Caenorhabditis elegans: one gene and its partners. The protein of the gene in region 3 interacts with the protein of the main gene of each other region in a pairwise test. Each region holds a gene or a part of one and is shown on either strand. Other genes may lie near its edges. The genes, in order: cul-4, cul-2, cand-1 and cul-6.

The links.
Region 1: the proteins of cand-1 (region 3) and cul-4 interact in a two-hybrid assay, tested with the Caenorhabditis elegans proteins (one study listed by BioGRID).
Region 2: the proteins of cand-1 (region 3) and cul-2 interact in a two-hybrid assay, tested with the Caenorhabditis elegans proteins (one study listed by BioGRID).
Region 4: the proteins of cand-1 (region 3) and cul-6 interact in a two-hybrid assay, tested with the Caenorhabditis elegans proteins (one study listed by BioGRID).

The regions. Positions count from the first base shown.
Region 1 is NC_003280.10:7,299,416-7,306,982, reverse strand, and holds cul-4 (Cullin-4), read right to left. Parts: upstream 4,883-7,567; 5' UTR 4,873-4,882; coding exon 4,771-4,872; intron 4,725-4,770; coding exon 4,617-4,724; intron 4,571-4,616; coding exon 4,492-4,570; intron 4,451-4,491; coding exon 4,403-4,450; intron 4,358-4,402; coding exon 4,254-4,357; intron 4,207-4,253; coding exon 4,015-4,206; intron 3,969-4,014; coding exon 3,636-3,968; intron 3,582-3,635; coding exon 3,221-3,581; intron 3,137-3,220; coding exon 3,026-3,136; intron 2,980-3,025; coding exon 2,761-2,979; intron 2,715-2,760; coding exon 2,206-2,714; intron 2,161-2,205; coding exon 1,913-2,160; intron 1,562-1,912; coding exon 1,453-1,561; 3' UTR 1,225-1,452; downstream 1-1,224. Other genes in the region: brf-1 (B-related factor 1), read right to left, coding at 1-565, 612-904, 950-1,112; C30G12.1 (uncharacterized protein), read right to left, coding at 5,493-5,720, 5,765-6,027, 6,140-6,391, 6,448-6,602, 6,648-6,784, 6,991-7,099, 7,147-7,247, 7,296-7,412. UniProt on the Caenorhabditis elegans protein: Component of cullin-based E3 ubiquitin-protein ligase complexes which mediate the ubiquitination and subsequent proteasomal degradation of target proteins.
Region 2 is NC_003281.10:13,685,068-13,693,249, reverse strand, and holds cul-2 (Cullin-2), read right to left. Parts: upstream 5,600-8,182; coding exon 5,571-5,599; intron 5,520-5,570; coding exon 5,376-5,519; intron 4,634-5,375; coding exon 4,573-4,633; intron 4,439-4,572; coding exon 4,299-4,438; intron 4,137-4,298; coding exon 4,031-4,136; intron 3,809-4,030; coding exon 2,135-3,808; intron 1,641-2,134; coding exon of another isoform or gene 1,635-1,640; coding exon 1,542-1,634; intron 1,282-1,541; coding exon 1,153-1,281; downstream 1-1,152. Other genes in the region: cyn-2 (Peptidyl-prolyl cis-trans isomerase 2), read right to left, coding at 1-166, 450-518; WD repeat-containing protein dyf-2, read left to right, coding at 6,805-6,816, 6,874-6,962, 7,355-7,420, 7,493-7,627, 7,794-7,993. UniProt on the Caenorhabditis elegans protein: Core component of multiple cullin-RING-based CBC (Cul2-ElonginB-ElonginC) E3 ubiquitin-protein ligase complexes which mediate the ubiquitination and subsequent proteasomal degradation of target proteins.
Region 3 is NC_003283.11:16,800,555-16,806,730, reverse strand, and holds the start of cand-1 (Cullin-associated NEDD8-dissociated protein 1), read right to left. Parts: upstream 3,860-6,176; 5' UTR 3,858-3,859; coding exon 3,720-3,857; intron 3,228-3,719; coding exon 3,117-3,227; intron 2,583-3,116; coding exon 2,328-2,582; intron 1,658-2,327; coding exon 1,144-1,657; intron 327-1,143; coding exon 1-326. Other genes in the region: ctps-1 (CTP synthase), read right to left, coding at 4,919-5,211.
Region 4 is NC_003282.8:12,585,487-12,592,952, forward strand, and holds cul-6 (Cullin-6), read right to left. Parts: upstream 4,966-7,466; 5' UTR 4,943-4,965; coding exon 4,845-4,942; intron 3,963-4,844; coding exon 3,186-3,962; intron 2,923-3,185; coding exon 2,583-2,922; intron 2,454-2,582; coding exon 2,004-2,453; intron 1,851-2,003; coding exon 1,521-1,850; intron 1,442-1,520; coding exon 1,379-1,441; intron 1,199-1,378; coding exon 1,067-1,198; 3' UTR 999-1,066; downstream 1-998. Other genes in the region: K08E7.8 (Leucine-rich repeat domain-containing protein), read right to left, coding at 1-83, 130-199, 242-315, 499-580; Multidrug resistance protein pgp-1, read right to left, coding at 6,342-6,418, 6,471-6,824, 6,875-7,196, 7,246-7,466. UniProt on the Caenorhabditis elegans protein: Probable core component of cullin-based SCF-like E3 ubiquitin-protein ligase complexes which mediate the ubiquitination and subsequent proteasomal degradation of target proteins.

The DNA of each region.
Region 1 (7,567 bases), on a different chromosome or scaffold from region 3:
GTGCATATGGACTTTTTGAAAACTTTTCCTTCCTCTTCTTATCGAGTGCAGCTTCAACGTGAGCTTCCATTTCTCCTAGTTGTTCTTTCATTGATTCTGCTTGCTCAGCCTCTTTTCTCAATTGATCCTCACGTGCTTTCCGTCGTGATTCTCGATATGCTGGTGGATCTTCACTATGTTCTAGATCAACAGTTGAAAACTCATCAATCGTAAGACTTCCCGAAGGGGTTTGACTGAATTCATCGAGACGTTTTCTGATTACGCCTTCACTGATGTGTACAACACGAACGATATCATTAATGGATCGATTGAAATTAAGAGATCTTGCAGCAATTAAAAGAGCAGCTCCACAGATTCCAGTTGGTCTTCTTCCAGTAGACATCCAATCTCTTTTCATTCTTTGTACTAGTCTTGTCGCCAAATTCACAACTTCTTTCTGTTTGTCGCCAAAATCCAAAACACATGCGAATCGCATAATGTAAAGACAAGGATCCGTGGATGGGAGATTGATACGCAATGAACGAGAAAGGTAGTTCAAGTTTCTTCCCAAATCGAAGACATTAATCTGAAATTGCACTTATTAATTACAAAAGTTTACCGAAATGTCATACCTGAGTGACATCACTGAAATCGAGCAACAAATGAGCAGTGTTTTCTAGTCGACAAGTTATATACATGCAAACAGCAACAACGGATGATCTATTACGTCCACGTGTCAGGTTACGAGATACGCACATTTTGTAAAAATTGAATGCAGTGTTCATACAATGTGAATTTATTCGTAACTGACTGCCGAGCTCATCAATAACTTTCCGGCCTTTTGCATACGTCATTTCTCGAGATTCTTGAGATCCCATTCCATTGAAATTGTTAGCTGCAGCTCGCTCTGAGGACACAAATTGACCTGAAATAACATTTTGTAAATACTTTTAACATTCCTACCACATACCGACTAGAGTGTGACCTGATCCACCAGCTCGCTCTTGAAATTGATTTTCAGTTACGACAATGGATTCTTCGAGCACAGTTCCGCACGCAGTGCACGTAGCATCTCCTCTAGCAGCATCCTCATCAATTTCAGAACTTCCGCAGTTCGAGCAGGTTCGAACCATTTTGTGTCTGCTTAACGAGAAACTTTGAAAATTGATTAAGAAAAAAAAAACCAAAAAAATGTAAGATCACGGATATTTCAACCGATTCGAGTAATTTCGTATAAAGAATTCAATCAAATAACCATGTATTCAACAGTATTTTGGATGCACATGTTAGGTGAAGAGAAAAACATAATTGAAAAAACAGAAACTAACATTTAGTACATTTTTCTCTAAAAAAGACGAAACTCGCACAAATAAAGGAAGAAAACTGTTCAATAACAGGGCAAACGAGATGAGAAGAGACCAGTGGCACGGATAAGGATTGAATTTGAAAAAGGAATAAAAATGATATTATGTATTACGCAACATAATTATAGCTAGATGCCTCTTCAGGATCCCTCGATATATATTCACGTTCGATGAGTGATTCCAGGCGTTTCTTGATATCGGCGGTGCTCACGGGGAATCTGAAACAAAAAAAACTCATTTAGAATAATTAACATTTATTTTACCTTAGCAGCAAATTTAGCAAAATTTAGACAAATTTTTATCAAGGAAATCGCTTCAAAATGTCAAAATTCATATTAATTTACTAAATGCTATGTTTTTGAGAGTATTGAAAAAGTTCTCAATTTTTACATTTCCTTTGATTTTGGTTTGTAGTTGTGTGCCAATTTATATTTTACATTCAATATTTTCATAAAAAATTTCAAAACCAGTTTTTATTTTTCGGCTTATATTGATATTACTATTTCTCGAATAAAAAATTGATTGAATTTTTTGAATTTAAAAATAAAGTTTTTTTTCTGAAAACTTACCTCAATTGTTGCAATAACTCCGTCATTAGAGTTTGATGGTTTAGCTGCTTTCGAGCCTTCATAATTCTTACAACAGCAGCGTCAATTTTGTATTGTCGATCAGAATTCACTTCTTCTTTCACTTCCTTCGTCTCTTCCACAGCTGTCTTTATATTGACCTGAGCAATCCTAACTCGGCAGCGCTTCTCCGTGAATTTAGAATTTACAACAAATTTCTCGTTTTTCAAATTTTCCACAGTACCTTCCTTCTAAACAAAGACATTTTTAGTTGAGTTGAATGAAAAGTTAGTTACCTTTTCGGATCCACCTCCTTCGACTCTCTGCAAAACCTTAGGCTTATCACGTCCACCAAGAAGTGCAAGCACATTTTTGACGACTTCAATTTCCAGAATCTTAGTGTGCTCAACAATTTCAGCGACAGTCCATGTCTCACATTTGTTGAAAAGAAGAAGAATGACAGTTTGATACATTGTTGCAATTAATTCTTTCTTACATCCAGGCCTGAATGAAGCAGAAATAACCGCAGAAGCCAGTCCGTGATGCCATTTAACATTCCGATTTCCATGTTGAACACGGTAAAAATCTTGATAATCGGTAAGTGTATCTCTCATCTCTTTTGGAATATTAATTTCATATGTGTCATAGGTTGGCCAATATTCTGGAGTTATGACTCGAGCAGTGAAATTCGCTTTTTCTTTGTTCATATGTTCTAGATATTGGTTGAATAATCTTCCATAATTTTCAGATGCATCCATATCTTTGAACATTCCTTCCAATTTGTATGTGAACGCCGAGCCACACTCTAAATCAAAAAGTTATTAATTTGAAAACTAAAAAGTATTAAATACCTGTCTTTAACTTGCATAAAACCATCTTTTCAGCATCAACAGATGCACTTCTTTCAAGGAAAAGCCGCTTAGCAAGACCTCTTTTATAATATGCTTCAAAAACGTCTTTTCCACGAAGATATCGGAACAACACAATAGCTTCATCTACCATTTGATCGAGAGTTGTGTCGTCTGATACATTTTTATTGCTACTGTGAAGAAGTGTGTGGAAGTGCTTTGCTGAAAAATAGAAATTATAATATAGAAATTTCGAATTATGACTTACAAATAAGTTCTGCAGATCGATCGACTTGTTTATTTACAAAAGATTCAAAGGCATCTGACAAACATTGTCTCATTTTTACTGGATCATTTGCGGATTTGAAGCTTCCAGTCACTGAAATATGATTAATGATCCACGTATGAGGAATTTAAAATTTTTGATAATAATAAAAATAACAGAGAACTTTGAAATACTTACTGATAAAATCAACTTTCTTCTTGAAAGCAAGTAGCTCAGAAACAAGATCTTCATCAGGACACGTAGCAATCAATTTCTCTCCGCGTTTTTTCAAATACTTTGAGAATTGTGTACGTACTTCATCCTCTCCACCAACGCATTGACGGCACAAATTAAACATTCGGCCGATATCCGAAATGTTATCAGAATCGATAAGATCGTCAAAATCATGTGTGAGAATTTCAGGAATTGCTTGTTGAATGAGACAGTTTGTCACTGTTGCCTGAACATCTTTTAGAGCCGACGGTTCATCAAAGTTCACTTTCACTAATTGCGAATATCGATTTATCTGGTCTTCACAGTATTCCATGTAATCGTTGCACTAAAATAAATATAAGTAATCGAGATTTTTCAAAGAATGAAAATAAAAACCTACATTCATTTTTGGAACTTTATCGATTCTCTCATTGTTATAGTGCTCTCGAAGTTGGCTAATAAGGAATTTTGCAAATTCTTCAGACACATGAACTGTTTGAAGCATATCTACAAGACTTCTGAGAGGACTGTCCACTGGATACCTCTGCATAATTTTCTGCATCGCCATATAGAGAGCATTGAACAGTTTTGTTGCTTTGAATTCCTTGAAAATGTTCGGGAAGAATGTTTTTTGAAATATTTGCATGAAACATTCCCACAAAGGGAGAATTTCTGTGTCTGTAGCGCCGAGCGCAATTCGGTCCAGATGAAGAAAAATATTCCTGATGAGATTCTGAGTTAAATCTATTGTTTTTTTTTAAATAAAACTCTTCACTTACGATTTTAACTGGATATGCTTGCCAGATCTGCCCAAACTTTTCCAAATATTGCTCACAATTGTCTTCTGCAAGAGGAACTTGCTCAACCGCATTTAACGACTCCTTTAATGATTTTGCAAACTGAACAACAATTGCAACGAGACGATCGTAAAGTACTTTTGATTGATTTTTATCGCACACAGATCTGACCTTCTGAAAACGCTCAGTTTTTACAATGTTTTAAACAATCAAAAACTTACGCTGAATAAGCCTTCCAAAGTGGTTACTGTTTTCCTATCTTCAAGAATAGCGAAAACATTATCCGAAAGAACAGCCCAATCTCTACCAACTGATCCGTCTGTACCTGGATATCAAACAAAATATAACACCTATCGAAGAATAAACTTACTATCAATATTGGTGTCCCCCATCGCAACATCATTTTGATTCGCGTTCGCTGGAAATCAAAATAACTAATGAAAACTTTACAAATATTACCTTTAAAGTTCTTTATCACAAGTTTCTTTTTGATGCGTTCATTTGTTGCGGTTGTGCGTGAAGAATTGCCGGTTTGACTCTGAAAACTTCCCACCGATGAACATTTTAATAAATTAATAACTCACTCTGAAATTCTCAATAAATCCATTTCCATGTCTGATTTCGCTGCTTGTTGAAACATCGTCCATTTCTCCGTCGGAACGATTTTCAGTGTCGCCGCGCATTTGCTTAGCCTGCAATTTATTTTTTCTCACATTGAAAATATTATTTAATTACTACCTCTGTACCTTCAACGGTGCTGGCTGTGCGCTTTGACGATTTTCGAAGCTGTTTACTTCGACTTTTTTCTGTTGAAATAGTCGGTGGTGCTCCAGATGTCATCCAATTTGTTCTGTTGAAAATGTTAGATTATTAGTATCTCTGAAGAAACAAACAGGACGGTTGGCGGTTTTATATAGAAAGATATTTTAAGATTAAAATAAAACGATTGGATTTAAAATTTCCTTTTCTCAAAATTAGATTTCCGCAGTTTAGAAAAACAATTTGGCTTAAATAATATTTGAAATGCCGAACTCATGCATTATTTTGAAGGCAAACTGAGGCCAAAGACGTTTGCTGACGCGCGGCGTGCTGGCGCATCTCTAGTGCTTGAGAGGCTGTTCATATTGAGAGACGCAGACTCTGCATAAAACTGTATTTATTATAATAGTAGGTCTACAATTATTTTTGTAAAGATTTTCTACAATGTTTGATCCTTTCATTGGAACCAAAAATTTATCAATTCAGCATTATCAAAAAAAGAGAGTATATCCAGTACTTGACCAGAAGAAGACAATTCCAACATCTGTGTTTGTGTTCATTTAATAAATATTTTATTAATTTCAACATGGAAAATTAGGTCAAAATACTTTGAAAAAAACAACCGAGATGCCTGAAAAATGAAAGAAAATTAGGGGACCCGATAGGAAAAGTCTGTTTAATTATTTGGTAGAGTAATAAAACTAAAAATGGAAAGGATTTGAATTCATATGAACTCGGCAAATCTCGTTTGGAAGTCGATGAGAAAGAGGGTTCGGTGCAGAATATCTAGAATCGGTCGAAACAAGAGTAGTAAACGGTTGATGGGGAATGAATAGATGATTATGAGAAAGACCTCCAACTCTTGTAGACGGTAGAAATGGATTTGGGGCTGCAGGTGTTGGAAGAATGAAACGAAGTGGAAGAGGAGTCTGAAATAATTGATAATTCAGATGTATTAAAGATTTAAACCTACAGTAGTAGTTGCAACATTTCTCATCGATAGAGCCTGTTTCAATGAATATTCATCAATCATTTCATTTTTTTCCAATGCCTTTGAAATTAACTTCAAGATAATTGGATCAACAACTGTTTGAATACTTGAAAGTGAAGAAGAAGAAGCTGATGGCATTGTTGCAGGAGTCTTGGTTTTATCAAAATTTGGTTGTCTAGTTGTGGTTGAAAATGGAATCGTTTGAAGTGATATTTGTCTTGGAGTTGTGGTAGTTGTTGGAATGGCTGAAAATTGACAGCTTTAATCGGATGTTAACTTAATTTATTAATTATAAATTGCAATTTTGAAAATGTTGTATATACTGAATTTTTCAAATAGTTGTCTTGTAGATGTTACCTGTGGATGTTCTTGTTGTGGTTGTCATAGTAGTCGTGGTAATTTGAGGATTAGTTTTAGTAGTGAAAACATTGAAAACTTCTTTCTTTTTTTCTGGTTTCTGTGATTTTCTTGGTTTCATTGTTGTAAAAGTGGCTCTATACGGAGAATCAATCTTCGTAATATCAATGACTGGAGCTACTGGAACTGATGCAACGGGTGGTAATTGGGGTTTAAATTGTGAAGCAGCTAATAATTCAATCATATCCTTATCTGGAATAATGAAATGTTTAATTTTCATAACAAATATCTCGAAGAAAGGAAATCACCTTTCCCGAGTTCAAACAAATTCTGCCACGGACCTTCCATTGCAAAGAGAGGACTTTGACTAACTACTGGAAGGAATCGAGAAGTTACTGTAGAGTTAATATTCAAAAGTTTGTGAAGCATTTCACTAAAATCTCTTTGTGGTCGTGTGCCAGGCCTGAAACAAGATTATTTGAAAATGCAGAATATTGGATGAACTTACAATGGTTTCGAGCTTCTTTTGCTACGTTTCCTTTTTGATTCTCCATACATTCGTCTCATTTTAACTAACTGTATTTTCTGTTTCTCAAAGTTTGTTAATGGTCGGATAAGATGATCTCCAACGTAGACGTGATTATTCTAGAAAAAAACCGTATTTGTTAATTGTAGTAATTAAAAAGTGAAGTGACTATTTCATAGATTCTGACAAAAGAATACGGTAATTGGTCTCGAAGCGTCTTTGACCTATCAATTTCCGATCGTGTCGACCCCTGATACCGTAATATTGAAGATTTACATTAAAACCAGATGGTTCTAACTATACACAATTGGAAAAAAAAACTTACTCGAACAATACAAGAATCCAACACCACTTCAATAGAATCATCATACCCTCCACAGAATTTTGGAATTGTAGGAAACGAGGCTTCGAAAGAATCAAATGAAGATGATGAACTGTAAAACGCTTAATTTTCAAAACAATCGAGAATAGAATGACAAACTCTTTGAATGCACTTAGATCATGCTGATACGAACTAAATATGTGTAGTTCGTGATCATTCAACTTTCGCTTGGAAACACCATGAAGGAATAGGGTACTGTCCTGAAAGATTTGGAAGATATTTTCAAATTGTTTTCTACGAATGCTTACAAATACAGCACATGCTGGTCCAACATAACCATATCCAGGTTGATATTCAGGTGGTGTATTTAGAATTAGGGCATTACCAATTAAAGGTAATATAAAATAATGAAGACTTTTAACCATGGCAACCAAAGGGTACACCTAGTCAAAGACTCTATTTGGTCGTGATGAGTTCAAGTTACGAAGCAAGAACAAAGATGGGACTGTGAGGAGACAAGGGGCGTCGCTTCTCGGCACACAAACTATGGTGTTGTTCCCACGGCCGGAAGCTGCTTTAC
Region 2 (8,182 bases), on a different chromosome or scaffold from region 3:
CGTTTCCCTCCGTAAAATCGCCGCCCTGGATCATAAACTCGGGGATGATGCGATGAAATTTGGATCCTTTAAAGTGCAACTTCTTGCCCGATTTCCCTTTTCCTTTCTCGCCGGTGCACAGAGCGCGGAAGTTTTCCGCTGTCTTCGGCACGATGTCGTTGTAGAGCTGCAACGACAGGTTTTAAAAATCTTTAGTTTATTGATTTTTAAATGTTGCCAAAATCTAGTAACTTCCTGAAAAGTCGAAAAACTGGCAAATTTCTGCAAGACCATTGAAAAAGATTTTACAATCATCCTAAAAACCGATAACAGAACGACAAAAATCGATAAATGGCAACAAAAAATTATATCGATTTTCTCAATTTATACTCATTAAAGTGCAAACTGACATACCACTAGCGCCTACAGTAATCATATTTGCTCCGAGAACCTAACGCTGCCCCCCTTACCTCCATAACGATGCGTCCTCCCTTCTTTCCGCCAATCGTGATATCGAAGAACACTTTGACACGTGGCATCGCTGATCGATTCTTTTCGCAGTAATAAATTTAAAACTACCGACGTTCAAATTTTCCATTATGACTTGCCACGTGCCGTAAGAGTGTCGTGGATCAAAGTTCAAGTTCAAAAACGTGAAAATTTAAATGAAACAAAATTGGAATTTTGGGAAGGATAATTGTCTACTTTATCGTAATCATAGAGATTCCGGAGAAAAAATAGTTGCTTGAGGAGGGAGGATAGAACACAAAAAAAAGACAAATATAGTACATATACATTTTCAAGGAGAGGCTACGGACTGGTTGGTTTTATAGGCAAATAGCCGTTTGTCGGGAGTAACAGAGAATTTCCCGCGATTTTCAGTTTTTGAGGGCTCCAAAAGTATAAAAATAGGTATTCCAATAAACAGTTTGATGATTCCCCGTTGCGCAGCTCCAGCAAAAAATGATATAAAATATGTAAGATGAGGGGCGAGGGGATTTACTTTCAGTACAGTTCAATTTGGAAAAAAAGCAATCATTGTTAGAAAATCTTGAAAAATAAAATTATAGTGGGGATTTTGAATGGCATGTTTCAGAGTCATTTACACAGTGTAAATTTTAAATTTTAGTTTTTTGCCTCTCAGGGAAAAAACACGCAAATAGGGGGAGAGAATTAGGCCAAATATTGATACTCGTCATTTTGATCGGTTCGCTGAATATACATTTTCTCGATAAGGTCCTCAATGCTCTTTTTGATGAATGGTACGTCGGGCGAGAAGCGGCCTTTCGTTTGGTCCATTATCTGCAAGAAAATGTTGTTTTCCGCATTTTTGATGTGGAATAGCACATTTTGCAAAAAGATTTTTTTCGCTTTTTTTTGGGGGGTTCCGGACCAAAAACTGTTTCTAAAATTGTTTGTTTTTCTTTTTTGGAGGAAAATCCACTTTTTGATTTTCAGTTTCTTGGTTCAAAATTCAAACAAAAATATTTTTGTAAAGCATTTTCAGTCGGTTGAATATCTCGTTTTACAGGGTTTTGACCAACAACAAAAATCTAACAAACCTCAGTGACAAGTGCATTGTGTTTCAGAACCTTCCTGGTCTTCATAATTCTGACAATTGCGCACTCCATATAGTACTTTCGGTCTTGTGAAACCTGGAACTAATATTGACGATTGCGAGGCACACGTGTTTGGATAATCTAGCTGCATCGAGGCGGGGCCTAACTAAATACGTCTAGTCTCTCAGAATTCTAGGCCACAGTTTATAGCTTTGATTTAGGCTCATTGGCTCAAAAAGGGAGCAGATAAATTGTTTAATTGATTGAATTGACTCAAAGTTTCCACAAAAGACCAAATTTCATAGTGAGACATTTAAAAAAATTTTACGAAGGTTTAAAATTTCGAAAAAACACCTAAACTCTTTATTAAAGATTTTTCAGCATTTGAGATTTTAGTTGAGCTTGGCTTGTTTTAATTTCCACCGTCATAAAAATGCTGAGAATTTTTCAAGGTGTCTCATTTTAAAACTTGGTTTTTGAGATCGTTTAAAAATTTTTAAAGTCTAGGACTAAATAAAATACAGATTTTTAGTGCTTGAACTCAAAAAGTCATAACTTGAGGCCCTCGCCAATGAAAAACAAACTGAAAACCCTACAGTATTCGCGACGGCCTCCTGCTCCTTCTCGACAGCCTTATTCACTTGTGGCGCCTGAAGCCGGAACTTCATCCGTTTCGACGTCATCGACATGTTCAGACGAACCAACGAGTCGGCCGTTAGATTCTGATCATCACACGTCAGCAGGGTAACGTCCAAAATCGTTCGAATCGTCTTTAGCAGATAGTCACCGCTCACACCAATCTCCTCTCCGATGTCCTTAACGAGGATAGCATCGCGACGTTCAAAGCAAAGCAGCGCTGCCATCTGATAGACATACATCTGTGCGACATACTGCTTATCGAGGTATGTAAGCCTGACATCTCCCTGTGACATATTGAAAAGCCATGTCAGTTTTCGCCCGTTGTGCTTCCCAGTGTAGAACTTCTCAAACTCCTGAATCACAGGCTGCAGGATACGTGGCAGATGGAAGTTGGCCACGTCTTGTGCGGTCTGATTATTCGAATTCGTAGAGAGCTGTGGAGCGTTGAGCGGCCAGCTACCTGCCTGCAGAATCATCGTCTGTGTCGGCACAAACTTCACGTCGGGCTGCACAGTTTTAATGTCCGCAATGTGCTTATCAAAGTTGTTCGATAGCTCCTGGCTAAGCCCGATATCGGTGAACATTCGTGACAGTTTACTGGTGAATTCATAACCACACGCCTGTTTCAACTTGTTAATCATCAGCTCCTCGGCGTCCATCGATATCGATGTGCTTGCTATAAGCCGATTTGCGAGCATTTTCGAGTAGAACTTCTGGAATATATCCTTATCCTCTATATAGCGGAAAATCACAATTGCACTGTCGAGTTTCGCCTCCAAATCCGTCTCCGATAGTCCTTTCGTGGACTTTTTGAGCAACCCATCCGTATATCTCGCCAACCGCTCACTGGCCTTCGGCACCGACTGTCCTGGCTCCTTCGAGTTCACGACTCCCTGCAACGCCTTGTCGAGTCCACTAGAGAACTCGCCATCGTCCATGAACACAGCAGTCTTCATATCATTGAACTTGTTATACACCCGTAACACATTCTCCACAAATTGCTGGGGTACATTCTCGCCGGTGAGCCTCGACACCGCCTCGAGCCCCTTCTTCTTCACATATTCCTCGAACTCCTTAACCATTACCGAGAGTCCCGCTTGAATGGGCTTCAACAGTCTGTACATGTTGCGGAGGTCCTTGTTCTCCTCATTAGTAATGAGATCATGGCACACTGCGTGAAGTTTATCCTTGTGAGCTTTTATCATAACTTTCTGGCACAACGTGATAACTTTCTCCACCGACGATTCGTGGAGATACTTCTTCGCACGCATCTCTTCTTGTTCGAGGAGCACTATAACCTGTTCCATGTACTCACTGCAGCTGAGGTCGGTGAGCATTTTTTGTGCGAGCGCCGAATAGTACTGTTCCGTATCCGTAAGAAGCGGTTTCTCAAAGCTCTCCTGATAGAACGCCGTTGTCGACTCGCGAGCCTTATAGCGTGCTCCTTCTGCCGGTACAACGTCGAAATCCGTCTCCTCCATCTTAACGAAGCTGTTAATGACGCCGGAGACTTCATTGGCGATATGCGGGAAGTTTCCTTTCCGATCATTGTCAATCGCGATGAGCAGAAGTTTGACGAGCTGCGGGAGAATGGTCTTCACGAGGTCTTCTTTCCAGATTTCTAGTGCGAGCTGAAAATTTCGATTTGTTTTTTTGGTTCAAAACTTCTCAATTATTTAATAGTTATTTTCCAGGAACACAAAATTTTGAAAAAGCGCACTGTGGTCTTAACTGATAATCATCGGCCACGGAAGTCATCTCCGTGGCCTAGGATTTTATTTCCACCCACTTTTTCGTCGAAAACATAAAGAAATTTCTAAAAACCTGGCGCAATTTTTTTGTCGCAAACTCACACATCCGATCTCCTTGACGTCTGGAATCTGCAGAAAAGCGGCGTACTGCGCGAAATTGTCCAAATCGGTGCATCGCTTCTGTTTTACGAATTGTTTGTTCAGGTATCTGTAAATAATGTTTTTTTTTAATTCTCTTTTTTTTGGGTATTTTTCAATTCTTTTTCTTCTACAACGACGCAGTGAAAACGTTTCACAAAAATGCATTTTGGAGCATTTTCAGATCATTGTTTGAATTTTAAAAAGAATTCCGAAGAAATTTCACACGAACCCAAAGAGACGGTGAATAAAGATGGCTCCCTCATGGAAAACTCTCCACATTTTGTGATATTCCTGAAGCAACAGATCCGGATCAACATCGACGATATCTTGACGCTTTTGTCGAACATGCTCTTGAATGCAAGCCTTCACCTGTAAAAATGGAAATCTTGTAGTCTCATCACCAAATTCGCTAGAAAATCCTTTTTTATAGTAGAATCCGAAGAAAAAAGTAGAATTTTAATTTTTTTTTTCGGTTTTCGTCGAAAACGTCAAATTCGAGATACCTCATTATACAATCGCTCGCTCAATGGAGTCGGTATCGATACACAAATGTCGTAGACGTCACTGAAAACAATATTTAAAAAAATTAAAAATTTATAAAAATCCAGCTTTTCGTATCGTAAAGTTGTGATTCTTGACATTTTTCTTTGGAAAGTACAAAAATCTTTTTTTTTTTCAAAAATTCTCATGTTTTTTTCCCAGAAATGGATTTTGTTCAAAAAATACTACCAAAATGGTTTTAAAAAGTATGTTTAAGAGGTTATAAGATCATCAATCCGATTTTGCAACAATGTTTTTTTAAATCGATTTTTCGGATAATCCTGAATTAATCGGAAAATAAGTGAATGTTAGTGTTTTGGAGCAATTTTTTACAATTCTTGGAATAATGATTGAGTTTTTCAGTGAATTATACACGTGAAATAAAAAAAAATAGTTTTGTCAAAAAATTTTCGGATTTTGTGGACAAAATCCTCGAAAAACTTTTTTTCTCTGTCAAAAATCGAATTTAGGATTGTTGCTTACAAACAACGCGATTGCTGAAAATAACTTCAAAAATTGATTTTTTAAAACATAACATTTTTACAAAATCGGATTAATAACAAAAAGGTAATTTTTGCCTTATATATAAATAGTTTTTGCACAAAAACTTTAGATATTGGCCAAAAATCAAGACATTTTTGAACAAAAAATCCCAAAAAATCTTTTTTTTCAAATTAAAAATTCGAAAAATCTGTTGAATGACAGAAATGATACTTTCTGAAATTTCTATCACTGGAAAAAATCAAACTTTTCCTTCAAAACTTACCTAAACTTGTGATGCCACTGAACATTGGTGATCGGCCGCAAATTGATGATATCAATGATAGATGGTCTCAACTGCACCCATACTTTGTCAAATTCCACAACTTTTGGCTTCAGTGAGTACATAACCTGTGGACGAGGTGGACGACTGAAAATGATGACAATTTGTGCGAAATTTTCAAAAAAAAATAACGGGTACCGTAAGGAAACTTTTGTGGAACTTGCCATTTTTACGGAAAAAGCGAAAATTTTTGAAATGCGGATTAAAAAACTAAACACGAAAATTTAATTGATAAAAAGAATCACGTGATTTTAATTATTCTTTCTTTTTTTAATTCGTTCAATTATTTAATATTCAAACCGAAAAATGAGAAACCAGGGGTCATAAACCAAATAATATCGATCGATGCGCAGCAGACGCACTCACATTTTCTTCAATATCGGCTCAACGACGGGAAAATTGTCGTCAGAAATTGCCTTACGGCGGCCAAGTGTCGTACGATTCGATGTCGGCTGTGTATTCGACGCCAGTTTTGCCTGTGGACGGTGAACCTCGGACCGGTTTCCTGTGGAGGTTACACTGAAGATTTTCGGGGATATGGTGGAGAAGCTGAAATTTGATTTTTAGAGAAGATATATTGAAAAGAGATAACAAACGTTAAAAATATATTGAACGTCATATGTTAGAAGTTGGCAATGACAATGAAAAATGTGACATGTGAGAAAAGGAGGATTTTAAAAAGGAAATCTGTTTAGAACAAAAATTAAGAATAATTTTCTGAAGTCTAAAATTTAAAATTAAATTAATATTTGAAGTTATTAAAGGTGGAGTCGTTTTGGAATTTGATTATAAAGTTTTCTCTAAAAATTTTAATATTGAAAAATTAAAAAAAAGAATACCCTTTTGGCATTTTTGTGCATTTTTTGGCTAAACTTGGAATAAATGGCCAAAAACCAAAATAAAATCGGAGCAGTGCTACAGTACTAATTAAAAAAACTACTGTAGTTTTCGCTATGAGATACTTCTCAAAATTTAGTGTACCCGTAATGCTCTCCCATTACAAATGTATTTGCCCCAGATGTGTAAATGAATAATTTTATCAAATATTTTTGTTCGATATTCACATAAAAAGATGAAATTGCGGTTTGTTTTTTTTTCTCGAGAATCCAGAAAATTCTACTAATTGTCATTATTCCCAAACCGGGAATGATCAAATCCCCTCTTCCACTTCCCCTGTTCTTTCCTCAATTTGCGTGCTCAACACACACTGTGTAGCCCGGTTACCAAGGCAACAACTCCCCAAAGGCTCGGGTAGCTCAATGATTTGTACTTCATTTTTTGTAACCATTATTTGTAGGCTCGTGACATAAGTGACAAATCATAGGGGAGCAGTGGCAAACGTCGAAAACAACGGAGATCTTCATTCATATAAATGTCATTAAAGGTAATTCCGTGTACTCTCACAAAAAATCAGGAAGTATTTAAATGTGTTTCTGCTCAGCTTCAATATCGAAGAGGCGAAGAAGAGCACGGAAGTGGACCGATTATTCATCGATGGAGACCAAATGGGCATACTGTAGCTGTTGCATGGTTTGTTTATTTTTTGTTTAATTCTTATTTTTAACAGTATCTTTTTTAAAGATTTTTCTTTAAAATATTCAAAATTCAAAAACTCCAAAAAAGACGAAAAAAATCGAGAAAGAATTTAAAGCCAACTTTTAGAAGTAGGATTTTCAATTTTGGCTAATTGTCCTGTTTGATTTTTTTTCCAAAATGGGAGCTTCATGACCAATGCGTTTGCAAAGACCTTGATTGGTTTGAAAATGGGTGGAGCCAATCGCTGATTGTTCAGATTTTTGAAAATTTGAATTTTCATCATTATTTCTCAATTTATTATTATCGGTTCTGGAATTTCTGAATTTGAAGCTTTTTAAATGCATTTTAAAGCTGAGCTTTTCCAAGCAATAAATTATACTTTTCAGCGCCAATAACACGGTCATCTATTACGATAAGAAAGGAAATGTTATTGACGCGTTGAATCCAACTGGGTGAGTTCAGAGTTTTTTGAAATGTAAAGAAAAAAGAAGATTTTCGTGATTTACACTTTTTTCAACTTCCAGAAAACTTATCGACATAGCTTGGGATAAGGAAGGTGATGTACTAGCGATTGCCGTAGCAAATACCGGGACTATTTATCTATGGGATGTGAACTCGCGGAATACAGATACTGTTGAGAGTGGAGCGACCTCTTCAAAGTGAGTTGAAAAACGGGGGCATTTTCTAAATACGGTTACAAAATATTATTTCAAAATTTTGAAACTGTGAGATTTTTTGGAGTTTTCAAAAGATTACAGATTTTTCGTTGTATTTCTACGTACTTCAGATTTAAAAAGTGATACACCAAAACTTGCTTCATTCCAGAGAGCTCCCAACATGTCTTGCATGGTCCCCAAGTACTCCTACACTGGTAATCGGCAACAACGCAGGAAATATCGTCGTCTACAATCATCGAACGTCTCGGCGGATAGCCGTGATGGGAAAACATCAACGAAGTGTCACACAGATTACAGTAACCCCGGAGGATTATGTAATTTCTTGTAGTGACGATAATACACTTTCAGGTTAGAATATTTCCGTTCAAATTATATTCGAAAATCATGTTTTGGAAAAAAATTGAAAACAGTCAACCCAGAGAAATGAATTGAATGAAAATATAGTTCCTCCGATTTACTGGGTATTATTGCAAGAGGTTTTAACTTTCCAAATAAATTTGACCTCAATTTTATATTTATTTCAAGAGAACAATATTA
Region 3 (6,176 bases):
TAGATAATTCGTCGAAAATTTGGTTCCACCAATCACCACAATATCATCAGTTTCAATGGAATCCTCGTCGGCGGCCACAACGGCCTTCTGCAAATCTGGGACCAAAATGGAGATCTGATTGAGTAGGGCAATGTAGACTGAGATGATTTCAGTTCGGACAGTCTCTTCGCGTTCTTTGAATCGTCCAATCACTACTGGACCGATTTTTTGCGAGAGATTGAGAAGGGATTCCCGGTGTGATGAGATCATTGCTTCGATGGCTTTTGCGGCGGCGCGGCGAACTTTCCATGTGACGTCTTCGTCGTCGCTGTATTCATCTTCGTCGTCTGCAAAAAATTTGAATATTTAAAGGTGGACTACGCTCAGCGAGGAAATTGCTTTAAAACACGCCTATGGTACCACAATGACCAAATACCATGATTAAAAAATTCAAAAAAATTTTCCAAATTTTATATGATTTTTTGAAAATTGGAAAAATCGCAGTTTTCCCCTAATTCCTTTTTGAATTTCCGCCAATTGGATTTGTTCGATGGAGCGCGCTTGCACGTTTTTAAATTTATTTATTTTATTTATTGTTATTTTCCACCAACTTTTAAAGTTTTCGGTGTATTTTTGCTTGAATTTAGAGAAAAAGTCAAAATAATTGCAAATTTTCGATTAAAAAGCACGCTACCAGGAAATTAGTTAATTCAGGTTTTAAATCGTTTAAAAGCGTTACTTTTTCATTTTTACGCCTGTACGTTTGCTTTTTAATCGAAAATTTGCATTTATTTTGACTTTTTCTCTAAAATTCGAGCAAAAATACACCGAAAACTTTAAAAGTTGGTGGAAAATAACAATAAATAAATAAATAAATTTAAAAACGTGCAAGCGCGCTCCCTCGAACAAATTCAATTGGCGGAAATTCAAATAGGAATTAGGCAAAAACTGATATTTTTTTCAATTTTCAAAAAATCATATAAAATCTAGAAAAATGTTTTTGAATTTTTTTATCATGATATTCGGTCATTGTGGTACCATAGGCGTGTTTTAAAGCAATATCCCCACTGAGCGTAGTCCACCTTTAAGGCTAAAAAAAGCTCCAAAATCAAGAATTTCAGCTAAAAAATCTTTAAAATCTTCAATTTTCGCACAGTTTCCTACCATCTTCATCATCTTCCATTTGCTCATCCTCATCATCATCTCCATACTCGTAATTCGGATCATAGGCCAGTGCATCAGTGAGCTGTTGGATAACTTCCTTCTCAAAAGCTACAACTTCCTGTGGATTCCGGTACAAAAATACTTCCAATCCTTGAATAGAAGCTTCCCGTAGATCATCGTGCTCCGATTCGGTTCCAGGATCAATTTGAAGATATTGAAGAAGGAACGGAACAACTTTCGGCGTATGCTTCGAGAATCTCGATCCACTGGCTCGTGCGACAGTGCTCAACGCGATCACAAGTGTACGAAGTTGCACATTTTGAGCAGCCGACGATGGAGGGGATCGTTGAGCCAGCTCTTTGAGCAAATCTTGAACGAGCTCATCGTAAAGCTCTCCGTTGATTACAGAGGCAAGATGTCCGATTCCAGTGATTGCCTTCTTTCTGATAGCGGAACGGAATGAATACAAGTGATCTACCATCACTTTCAACGATCCTTTGTGCATTTCGGGAACCTGGAACTAGAAATGTGTGAGATTTTGCTTCAAAAAGTGCCAAAATAGTCTTAAATTCGGGAAAAACGTGAAATTTCGGCTGAATTCCATCTGATTGGTTGAAAAGTGGGCGGGGCGAATCGCTGATTGGTCGCAATTCCCATTTTGGAGGAAATTAGCCAAAATTGAAAAATCGCGTTGGATTTTTCGTTTTTTTTTCGAAATTTGGCATTATTTCAGAGTTTTTAAAGCAAAAAATGGAAAATTTTTGAAAGTTTGGTTTAAAAAACCCAAAACTGACAATTTTTCAATTTTAGGGTTACTGTAGCTCCACAAATTCGCAAACACTGACAACACACCGGATTTGACGGCAAAATGCAGAATAATCAATATTTTCCGCAATATGTCGTGTTTGCGTGCTTTTAAGGGTACAGTAATCCCGGTAACGAGCAAAATGGCTGTTTTCTAGAGTACTGTAGCCTCAAAAGTGAGCAAACACCGCCAAGACACCGGACTTGACGACAAAATGTAGAAAAAAACGGAATTTCTGCAAAATGACGGTTTTTGGCTAGATTTGGGGTATTTTTTTTGAAATTTTGAAGATATTTGAGCTCAAAAAAGGCTCATTTGGGCTATTTTAAGGCTTGAAAAGCCCAAAAAATAGGATTTCCGGGTGTAAATCCACACTTACAACATCACCAAATCTCAGCAAAACTTCTCCAATCAAATCGAGAACATCGACACGAGCCGCATCATCTGGAGCACACAACGACAGAGAATCCACAAATTTTGGCAACATTCTCTTGACAACTGTAGTTGTTGCATTACTTGAAGCCGATGGAGCCAAATTTAGAATCATTGCTTTAAGTGTGAGAGAATGAATATCTCTTGATTGTTCAGCTTTCGAAAAAACGTGTGGAGTGAGCTCTTCGACGAGATATTCCAGCTGAAATTTGGGATTTTTTCAAATTTTTAATGATAATTTTTTTAAACAAAAATTTTTAATGTTAAATATTTAATTTCCCGTTGAAATGTTGAAAAATCTACTGAAATTTTGAACTTTCTGTGGAAATTCGACTGAAAATTCCAATTTTTTAAACTTTTTATTGTAGAAATATTGAATTTCACGCTGAAAATTTATTTTAAATTCGAATTTTCCGACAAAAATTGATTTAAAATTTGACCATCCATCCAAAAAATGACTTTTTTGTCAAACTTTGACTGGAAATTCGTGTTTTCCTCCAAAAATTGAATGAAAATGTGACTTTTCTGAAATTTTATATAAAAATCGACTGAAAATTCGAATTTCCAGCCAAAATTCCATTTTTTGTACGAAATTTTCAAACTTTCCAGTCATTTCTTAATTTTTTGAAGGAATTTTCGTATTTTTCTCATTGAAATCTCCAGTTTTGTCGTATTTTTTCCAATTTTTTCCGTTAAAAACACCGAAATTAAAATTTTGAATTTTCCGATTACTGACATGATGCGTTTTGATTTTCGATGGCTGAGCAAGGAGTCCAATACATTTGATCGCAAGATTTTGAACTTCTCCGTTTGAGTCACTGAGCAGTTTGATTAGAGCACGAATGACCTGAAAAAAATTAGAAAATTCAGATTTTAGCTAAATTTTGAATTTTTTTTTGGAATTTTTGTTTAAATTCCGGCGGTTTTTAGTTAATTTTAGCCATTTTTTGAATTTTCAACATTTTTTGGCAGAAATTTCCGGTTTTTGCCAAAATAAACAGTTTTTTTTTGTAATTTTAAATAATTTTTTTTTCGTTAAAAATTTAAATTACAGCAGAATTTAGCAGTTTTTCGGATTTTTAAATAATTTTTTTTGTAGAAAATTACGGTTTTTGCCGGTTTCGAATTTTTTTTGTAGAAATTTCAATTTTCAGCTAAAATTTTTTTTGAAATTTCAAACAGATTTTTCTGTTGAAAGTACAGATTTTAGCTATTTTTCACCTTTTTTTTCAAAATTACAATAAAATTTCACTGGAAAATTCAATTTTTAGGGTTATTTTTTAGCTTTTTAAAGCAATTTTTGCACCAAAAACCGCCAATTTTTGAGATTTTACTATACTTTAGCAGTCGAATCGTCCTCCAAAGCGATAGTTCCAGTCTGCAAATCTTTCATCAAATCATTGCAAGCCATGAACCGGAAATCCTTATCCGGATTCGACATTTTGTCGACCAGTTGCCCGACATGATAAGCACTCATCTGGAAACAAAATTTGGTCTGAAAATCACTTTTCGGGGTCTGAAAACGTGAAAAAGATAACCAAAAGAGGCAAGAAAATAGACAATTTTGGGCGCCAAAATAAGTGATCAAAAACTCTAAAAACGAAGTTCATCGGGTGTTGGTAGAGAACAAAATCTATGAAACTGGGTCAACAATTGAATAAATCCGGGAAAAAATGAAGGTGACTATGGGAGAAATTAATGAAAAAAAAACAGAAACAAGGATAACAAAAGGACAAAAACGACGAGAAAAATGCGAAAAAAAAGAAGAAAATTATCTTTGGAATATCAGAAAATAAGAATAAAAACAACAAAAACTGGAGGGATTTTTGTCTGAAAATGGTCTGAAATTGACGAAAAAGGGTCGATTTTTTCGAAAATTTGACTCAAAATTTGCAAAAATCTGAATTTTTCGTTTTTCTGGCGGATTTTGGCAATTTTTTGAGTCAAAAAATAATTTTTTGGACTGAAATTGGTATTTTTAGGCCAGTTTTTGGGAAAAAAAGCTTGAAATATCGCAATTTCAGATCAAAAAATAGTTTTTTGGTGGAAAAAGCCATTTTTTACATATTTCGCTCAAATTTTGGATTTTTAAAAACATTTTTGCCTCAAAAAAAAAAACCACTTTTCGGGGTAAAAGTGTTCCTTTTTAGGCATATTTTTGGGAAATCGGCTGAAAAAATGAGTTTTCTGGCGCAAAAATGTAAATTTTAAGATAAGCAGCTCAAAAAACGGCAAAAATTGAAAAAAAAATCGAAAAATACCAAGTTTTGAGCGTTTTCCCGTTTTTCGCACAAAAAATAGCTTTTCGGAGAGCAAAAATCCAAAAATTCAGCAATGTCAGCTTGAAAAATGGATTTTTGGCTCAAAAACTGCAAAAAATCCAAAAATTCAGCGATTTCAGCTCGAAAAATGGATTTTTGGCTCAAAAAAAGGCAAAAAATCGGTCAATTTCTGCAAATTTTAAGACGATTTTCTGACAAAATCATCTACTCAACTACAAAAAAAGTGAAAAAAAACGACGAAAAATTGAGGAAACAATTAATGGAAAGAAGCCAATCTCTGAGTTCCTGGCACAGCATTTCCCTCGAGTTTCAGTTTCCCCAACATTGCTCCAACAACATCTTCACGCTTCTCCTCCGAGTCATTCTCTTTTGTATGATGAAGATGCTCCTCTTCATTTACAACTTGAAGAGCCGGACTTCTTGACCCAGAGAAATATGAATTAAGTTGACGAGTTGCGGCAAGCAGAAGACCGAAGAATGGTGGAGATGGAGTGAGTGGATGGGAAAGGTATTCGGGATGGAATTGGGCTCCGACAAAGTATGGGTGGTCTGGAATTGGAGATAAGCTTCAAGGGGTGCCGGTTTTTTTTAATTTCGACTTTTTGAAAAATCTTCTCAAAAATGAATAAAATAATGTTTATCAGCATAAACAAAATTTGATTTTTTTTTAAAGTTTGTTCATCGATTTTCACCAGAAAAATTTAGATTTTTAGGAAAATAACTTCCAAAAATGGAATTTTTGTTAGGTTTTTCGGACCAAAAAACTTCTTTTTTTTTCTTCAAAAATGTTATATTTTAGTTGGTATGACGATAAAAAACCAACAGTTTCTTTTTTTTAGCCGAATTTTTTTTTGACAGTCTTGTTAAAATTTTTCTGAAATTTCAAAAAAAAAATTGTAGATTTGTCCGGAAAATGGCTTAAAATTTGGGCTATTTTTCCCACATTTTTGAAGAAAAATATCGATTTCCTTATAGTTTTTACTCGTCAACTTGAATAAAAATTATCAAAAAAATGAAATTTTTTTTTTTTTTTTTTTGATTTTTCGAAAACAAAGTCGATTTCTCGGAAAATAGCTGAAAATTTGGGGTGTTTTCCCACATTTTATAAGAAAATAATATGCCTTTTTATGTTTTTCTCCACAAAAAAAATTTGATTAAAAAATCGAAATTTCTCGATTTTCTCCAATTACACCCTTGGTAAGAATTTTTAAAAAAGTAGAAAAATACGACTAAGAGAAAACGGCCTAAATTAAGAGTGACAGGGCCAAACCAGCAGATTTTGAGAAAAAAATTAACTGTTAGCAAAGAAAATTGCGTAACCACTTGCAGAGAGAGAGTCATCAATTTCAAAATCAAATGGTTCGCAATGGAGCGCGTTCGCTCTCTCTGAAAATTGCCAGGACGCAATTTCCAGAGGTAATTATCGATTTGGAGCAACTAAAGCGAGAAGAATATCGATTGATCTCATGAAATAGCTTGTGTAAACTCGAAATATGCTAAAATAAACACATTTT
Region 4 (7,466 bases), on a different chromosome or scaffold from region 3:
CGCAGCGTTTAACCCTTTCAAACTTGTCCACGTGGCAACTTCTTCGGGAATTTCAGAGATTTCATTGTTAGCCATATTTAGGACTGAAATGTTTCAGAATTTTGCTTAAATGATAAATTTTAAACTTACTAGTGGCAGTTGGAAATTTGATCACAAATTTTTTGGGGAATTTTTTGAAGCCGTTATCTTGAATACTAACCTGAAACTGAACATTTTTAGGAATAGGTTTTTTAGAACGTACTTTTGTGATTTCGTATCCCTTAATTAACATGTACACCGCGTCAGCCATGTACATTAACTGGCAAGATGAAAGGTCTGAAAACAATATGTTATTTGGAATTTCGGTGAGAATTGTTCAAAATATTAAATAGTTTTCGTAAAACTTTACTCTGCTTCTAAAAAACGGTCTGCTTTGTGTGCGCCTACCATGTAGGCACACAGATGCCTACAATGTGTCCTACGCCTTCATTGCGACTACAGAAAACAGTCTAAGCTCACCCAAAAACCCGGATTCTTTTGCAGCTTCACATCGTTCGACTACTTGAGTCACTCCTTTGCCGGCTGACATTACAATTGACATTTTTACAGATTAATAGAACTTGGGCAGGGAATAAGTTTTAAAAATAAATGGAGTAATATAAATGACCCAAAGATTTCAAGGTTTCAAAAGACAGAAAGAATGGGAGAATGAGATACGCAGGGAGTTGAACACTTTACAAATATCGTCTTTGAGTTTCTCTCGGCAGGAAGAAGGAGGAGGATTAGCTATTGATTTAGTGGGAGAAATGAAGGATCAATGATCTCAGGAGTTACGAACTGTGAAATATGTAAGTATAAATGCTTTTTCCAAAGTCCCAAAAAGCAGACGCAGACGAAAAATAGAGTGGTTCATCGCGAAACTAAATCGATGTCGGCGGCGAATTATTTAATAATAATTTCATGTGAAAATTTAGGTAGATTTTAGTCCTGGAAATACATTAGAAAAAACGTCATGTGGATGATATTCACAATACTTTATTGCATTTATTTCTTTGAACAATTAAAAAATAAACTAAAGCCAGTAATTTTATGCCAAATACTCATAGACATTGTGTTCGTTTTCTGATCGACGTATGTACAACTGCTCAATCAGGATTTCAATGCATATCTTGATCATTTGCACATTTGGCGTAAACCGGCTTTTCAATTGACTAATTATCTGAAAAAAATTAAAGTTACCAAGCTCTTGAAACCCGTGTTTTTAAATTGTGTTTTGCCACTAATTCAGTTGCGGAAAATTTTTAATAAAAGTTCAGTGATAAAACTATACAAAAGAGCAACTATTTGGATTATTTTAAACTATTGAAAAACAAAATTACTTATATTGTTAGCCTCTTACCTCATTAATGAGCAATGTGTGGGTGAGACTTTTCCGTGTCTTCATGATTCTTACGATGCATGCCTGCAAGTTAATTGCCATGTTTTTTTTTAAACATATCCTTGCTTGCAAATAATTTCATAGTCTCGATTAAAAAAAATACCTTGATCTCATACTTCCTATCGCTTTCAACTGTATTTTGAACCGCATCTGTCTCACGATCTGCTGTTGCTTTTTTAATTGCCGTTGTCAAATCCACTCGCACTTTTTTGTTCGCATACTTCGTATTCAAACTCACTACGGCATCAGGTGGATATCCATCTTTTTCGTTGCCTTTGTCAACTACTAGCACTGGATCAATAACCGGATTAAGAGATCCTACGATAGCCGAAGTTGACTTTGCAGTCATTTCAATAGCTTTGGAAATTTGTTCAATTGTGAACGAGTCCTGCTCATTGAAAAGATAGAGCGTGCAGAGTTGGCTTGCTGTAACCTGGAAAATTCTAACTTTTAATAAGTTAAGATTTCAAAAAGCAGTTTGGCTTCTTCTTCTGCTTCTGCTTCAGGCTGACTTCTGATTTTAAAATTTTTAATAAAATGTTATCTGATAAAAATAATAAGTTTGAATAACTATAGATAAACTCACAATAAATACATATTTCTTTTCGAAAGCTTTAGAGTTAACTTCGCCCCGGCATTGTGAGTAAGCCCAGTTCAATCTTCGTCCATTATGACTCGCATTGTAGAATGTATCGAACTCTTTGAGAATTGTCGATAATTCTCGCGGAAGAATAATCTTGATTTGATCTAAACTTGGCCATGCACCAGTTGTTTGAAGAATAACGTTAAAGTCAATCGACTTTTCCGTTTTGATATCTTTGAATTCAGTAGTCAAATCTTTACTAATTTTAGCGTCTTCGACCATTTTCACAAGATTGCGAGTATATTCGAGACCTTCTGTTGCAGTTAGATTTGTAATGAACTTTTCTTCTGCATCATCACTTGCTGAAGAATTATTGATGATTCGTTCACTGAACCAATTTTGATAATACAATTGGAAGACATCCTTTTCGCTGATATACTTGAGCACCGTTAACTGAAAATGGGATTTTTTTACATACGTGGTGTTAGGCTGTCCCATCATGTTTTGATCTATAAAGGGAATTTTTCGTACAGAAAAATGTGATGGAGCAGCGACGTTCAGAGTTGAAAAAAGCAAACTCACTGCTTTATCTAGCGCCGTTTCATCTTGAACCTTGGAATTCTTCTTCAAGAGCTGATCACAATATCTTGCAAGATAGTCTGCAGACCTTGTGCTTCGGTGTTTTTCAGGAGCCAACATAGTCACAGCATTAGCTTCGATAAAGTCCTTAGAAGCTTTGTCGAGAGATTGCATGAAAAGTGCATTTCTATCGAATGCTTTATTTATCAAGTTGAAATAAATCTCGTGAACTTCAAGGAGTTTGGTTATGTATTCCTTTGGTGTAGTTTTTAGTCCACTGTCTTTAGCCAGTCTTTGCAATGTTTCGTGTCCTTCTTTTAAAATTCGCTTTTCGAGATACACCCTGAAACTTCGTTTGTTTAGAATTAGAATGTTTATTTTTCTAAAAATGGTATTCAATTCAATACTTTTGAACAACTCTGAAAATTTCTGAAACTTTTAAAAAAGTTTGCTCAACATTTCTGACAGTTTTAACAAACTTTCCGGAAGTTTCTAGTAGTTTTCCGAAAAATTATTCAGGGATCCCAAGTTGTACGGCAGTACATACATAGTATGGATGAGCAACTCAGAGACAACACTTGCTTCCAAAGTGGTCAACTTGCTCACCTCAAATCCTCGAGTCCATGTGTAACTCTCCTGCACAAACTGTACATTCTCGTCAGGTGCTCATCCTTTCTAGCCTCCAAAAGACGTTCAAACTCGCTATGCAAGAACTTCAACCGATCGGAAATCAAAATAGATTCGCATGAGTCAATCAGTAGATCATTTGTAGATGGTCCAAGATATCGTCGACTCCTGTATTCTTCTTGAAACAGTCGATTTTCAACAGTTATCATGTATTCTATAACAGTCTCTTTACTATTCAGCACCTCTTGTTTGTAAAAGAGTTTTGTGGCATCAAGGAACTGGGGTTCAAAGCTAACCTTGTAAATATCAAGTTCCGTCAGACATTCGACAACTGAAGAAATATGTGTGCTATTAATTGTCGATCCACATCTTTCCAAAAGTATCAATTCAAGAATAGCATCGATTGTTTTAACTTTAAAATTATCAAAAAATTCAGCCTTCCAAATGTCTAGAGCCAGTTTGTAAATTTCCACAATTTCTCCATTCTTGTCTTCTACTTTTTTCGAAACAAAATTTCGATTCAAATACTGAAATATACAATTGCAGATTCTTGTAGAAAATTTGAAGTTGTCCCATTCGATGGTGCATTTTCCGAGTAGTTCATCACCAGAACACGCTGATATTCTGTCTCGAATTGCAATCACATATGTCCTGATATAGTTTTCAAGTTGTTTGTAGAGAAATTCACTTGCAAATTCTGGCGAATTATTATTTGAATTGGCAAGTGTTGTTGTTGTGCAAATATTATAGACAGCACTGGAATTTGTAATGATGAAGGAAGGGTGTGCGGCAATTGCCGTTCGGCAATCGAATAATTGCCGGAATTGCCGATTGCCGGAAATCAAAATTGCCGGGAATATAAATTTGAAACTTTTTTTAGATTTAGGAGCCTGAACATGGCATTTTAATGAACAATTTTCAATTTTCAAGCTCAAAATGATTTATCGTTTTCCTTTAAAAAAAATTACTAGCCGAGTACTAAAAAACAATGTGAAATTATTTCAATTTCCGAAATATAATTAGGATTGAAAATTGCAGCAATTTTGGCAATTGCCGGAAATTTCCAAACCCGGCACTTGCCGGAATTGCCGATTGCCGAAAATGCCCGGCAGTCGGCAATTTCGGCAAGTTTGCCGAAAATTTTCAAAACCGGCATTTGCCGAAATTGTCGATTGCCGGAAATTTCCGAGTGCCGCGCACCCCTGGTTGAAGGTTTTTAATTTGTATTGTAGTGACATTTTAAAAAAGCCAAAAAATAACTTGTTTGAGTTTTGTGACAGTTAGCCGGTTTGCCGAAAATCATAAAAAAAACTCTCTCATTTTACCAAATAATTTTTCTGCAATTTTTAAATTTTTTTCAATTTGCAAAAGAAAAAGTTGAAAGGCCTGATTTCCATTTTATTTCCCGAGCAAATGAATAAACTAATTTTGACTTTTTTTTCTGTCTCTATGCTCAATTTTCCGAAATTTTTCAACCAAAAAAGAAAATTTATAACCGATGTTTAGGCAAATTTTAGATGATCAGCAAAAAAATTCCACATAAGATGAAAAAGTAAGGTTAAATATATTTTTTTAATTTCATATATATATATCAGAAAACTAAAAACAAGCAAAATTTCAAAACTAACGCAGACTTACTCATAAAGCATCATATAGTACTTCTTCGACATATGCTCTCTTCGATACAGCAAATTTAAACCATCTTGCAATGTTCCCCACACTGCTTCGATGCTCATTTTCAGGTAATTGTAGCTGAAAATAATAATAATAACGTTTCTTTTTAAAGAAGGAAAAGTTTAAAATGCAGAAAGCGCGGACAGAAACTGAAGAGAGAATGTGAAAAGGTGGTAGACTGTTGCGTAAGAGAATTAGAGAAAAAAGTAATGTTAGCAAGAATTTCGAAATGATCCATTTTTTCTCAGATGCTATGGTACTTGAAATGATGTGTGTTCGGTGAAAGATTGATTAAAGACAGTGAAACTCTTTGATGAATGTTGAACTTGATTTAGAACATTAGATAAGATTATAAGTTAAATATTTGTTCAGTTATTAAGTTTTTATTATTTGAGTGTAAGGTCATACTATTAACAATGTGGAAACCTTACATGCTACCAATTTACGGTGTCTTACTAGTTTGAAAAATAGGAGCATGGTTTAAAAAAGTGCCTCCGAAAAATTGAGGAATGAAAATATAAGAGAAGAAGCATCATAACTTCTTGATAATGCCAAATGCCCTAAATACCGCCCCAGCACATTAACTAAACGGCTTTTTCGAAATTTTTCAATGTTGTTGAATTCTTTCGAGATTTACCTTTTGAACTGGGAAAACTCATACATATGTATACGTATTCATTCACGCTACAAACTTAAGAACTTTTTTCAAAAACCCGAAATTATTTCTTAAACTGAGAAGATGTGTTGAAATAGGTGTAACCGACGGCAAGTAGTGATACAAATGAAATTTCATGAAATAAGTTCCTTATCATACGGTGATGACTCATGAGAGGCAGAGAATGAGGAAAAGTTGGAGAGCAAACAGATATGTGTAGTTTGGATCAACAGTTCGGTGTACACATTGTGGTAGCACATGGAGAGCAACTTTGGCTTTTAAATTACATTAAGATAACTTGCATTTTTTGCAAAATTGCAAAATTGGAATGTTCTCTCACAAGGGAATGGTTTGCAGAGGGTTTAGAATTTTCAAACTAATTCAGTGCCATTCGATAGCTGATATTATGAACTTCTCGAACGTAAAGGACCGTTTTTGCCGCGGACATCTAGAACTCGAGATATTTGCGTCTAAAATTTACTACTGATTCCAGTTGATTTTCAGTCTTAAAGATTAAGGCTAGCCTCCAAATGCCGAGCAAGTAGCAAAAATTTAATTGAAGTTATGAAAACATAAGTTGAGTAATTATGTAGAAAAAATTTTCATTACAGGATTTAATATGCACATCCATCTGTCGCACATATCTGAGAGTCTGAAAATGATTCTAGATAGACTCAAGTGAAAATATTTATTCAATTCAAACTTCAAAAGTAACTCAAAACAGAGGAACGACTTATTAATATGCTTAGGGGAAAGATCGTGCAAAAATCGAGAAAGAAAGCTACACAAAATTAATGATTTAAAGTTTATTTCTTCTCGGTCATCTGCTTTTGGGTCAGTTTGTAGTAGGCACCCTTCTCAGACATCAACTGTGTGTGGGTTCCTGTAAAAATAACAAGATTAGGGATAGGAAGGCTCTTTGAAAGTCTGCTTACCTTTTTCAATAATAGTACCATTGCTCACGACAGCAATACAATCTGCATTCATCACTGTGTTCAAACGATGAGCAATCACAATACAGGTTCTTCCCTCTCTCGCACGATCCAGCGCTTCTTGGACAACCTTCTCGGATTCTGTGTCCAGTGCTGACGTAGCTTCGTCCAAGAGTAAGATCTTGGGATTCCTTACCAGGGCGCGTGCAATAGCGATACGTTGTTTTTGACCTCCGGAGAGCTGGGTTCCACGGTCTCCTACACGAGTCTCAAAACCTTCTGGAAGCTCTGCGATGAAATTGTGGATGTTCGCAAGCCTGGCTGCTTCTTCAACTTGAGCCATGGTAACTGAGGAAGCTGAAATTCAATCAATTAATGAAATGATTGTTGTATAAATGATAACTCACGATCCAAGCCATAGATAATATTCTCTGCAATTGAGCAATCAAACAGTGTTGGCTCCTGGGATACAATTGCAATTTGTGATCTTGTGTGCTCAGGGTTCAACGTCTTGATCTCGGAGCCATCGATAAAGATCTCACCGCCAAGGGTGTCGTAGAATCTCTCAAGAAGCGCTACGACGGTAGACTTTCCACATCCTGATGGTCCGACGAGAGCGAGAGTTTGTCCGGGCTCCACTGAGAAGCTGAGACCCTTCAGGATCTCGATTTCTGGGCGTTCTGGGTAAGCGAATCGGACATTCTTGAAAATGACTTTCCCGTAGAGTTTCTGAAAATGTACATTTTATTATAGTTAAACTCCTATTCAAAACTGTTACCTTCTTCTCCCCGGCCAACGACAAACTATCAATTTTCGAAATCTTCCGTAGCATCCCGAAGATAATACCACCAGCAAACGTGGCTTTCGCATATTCTGGGAAATATGAAGTGGCGAATCCGAGGGTAGACGTGGAAATCGTGATGGCATACATGACACGAAGCACACGCATTGGTTGCATAGTTGGTGGGTCGGTGATGATCAGGGCGAGACCCATACGAT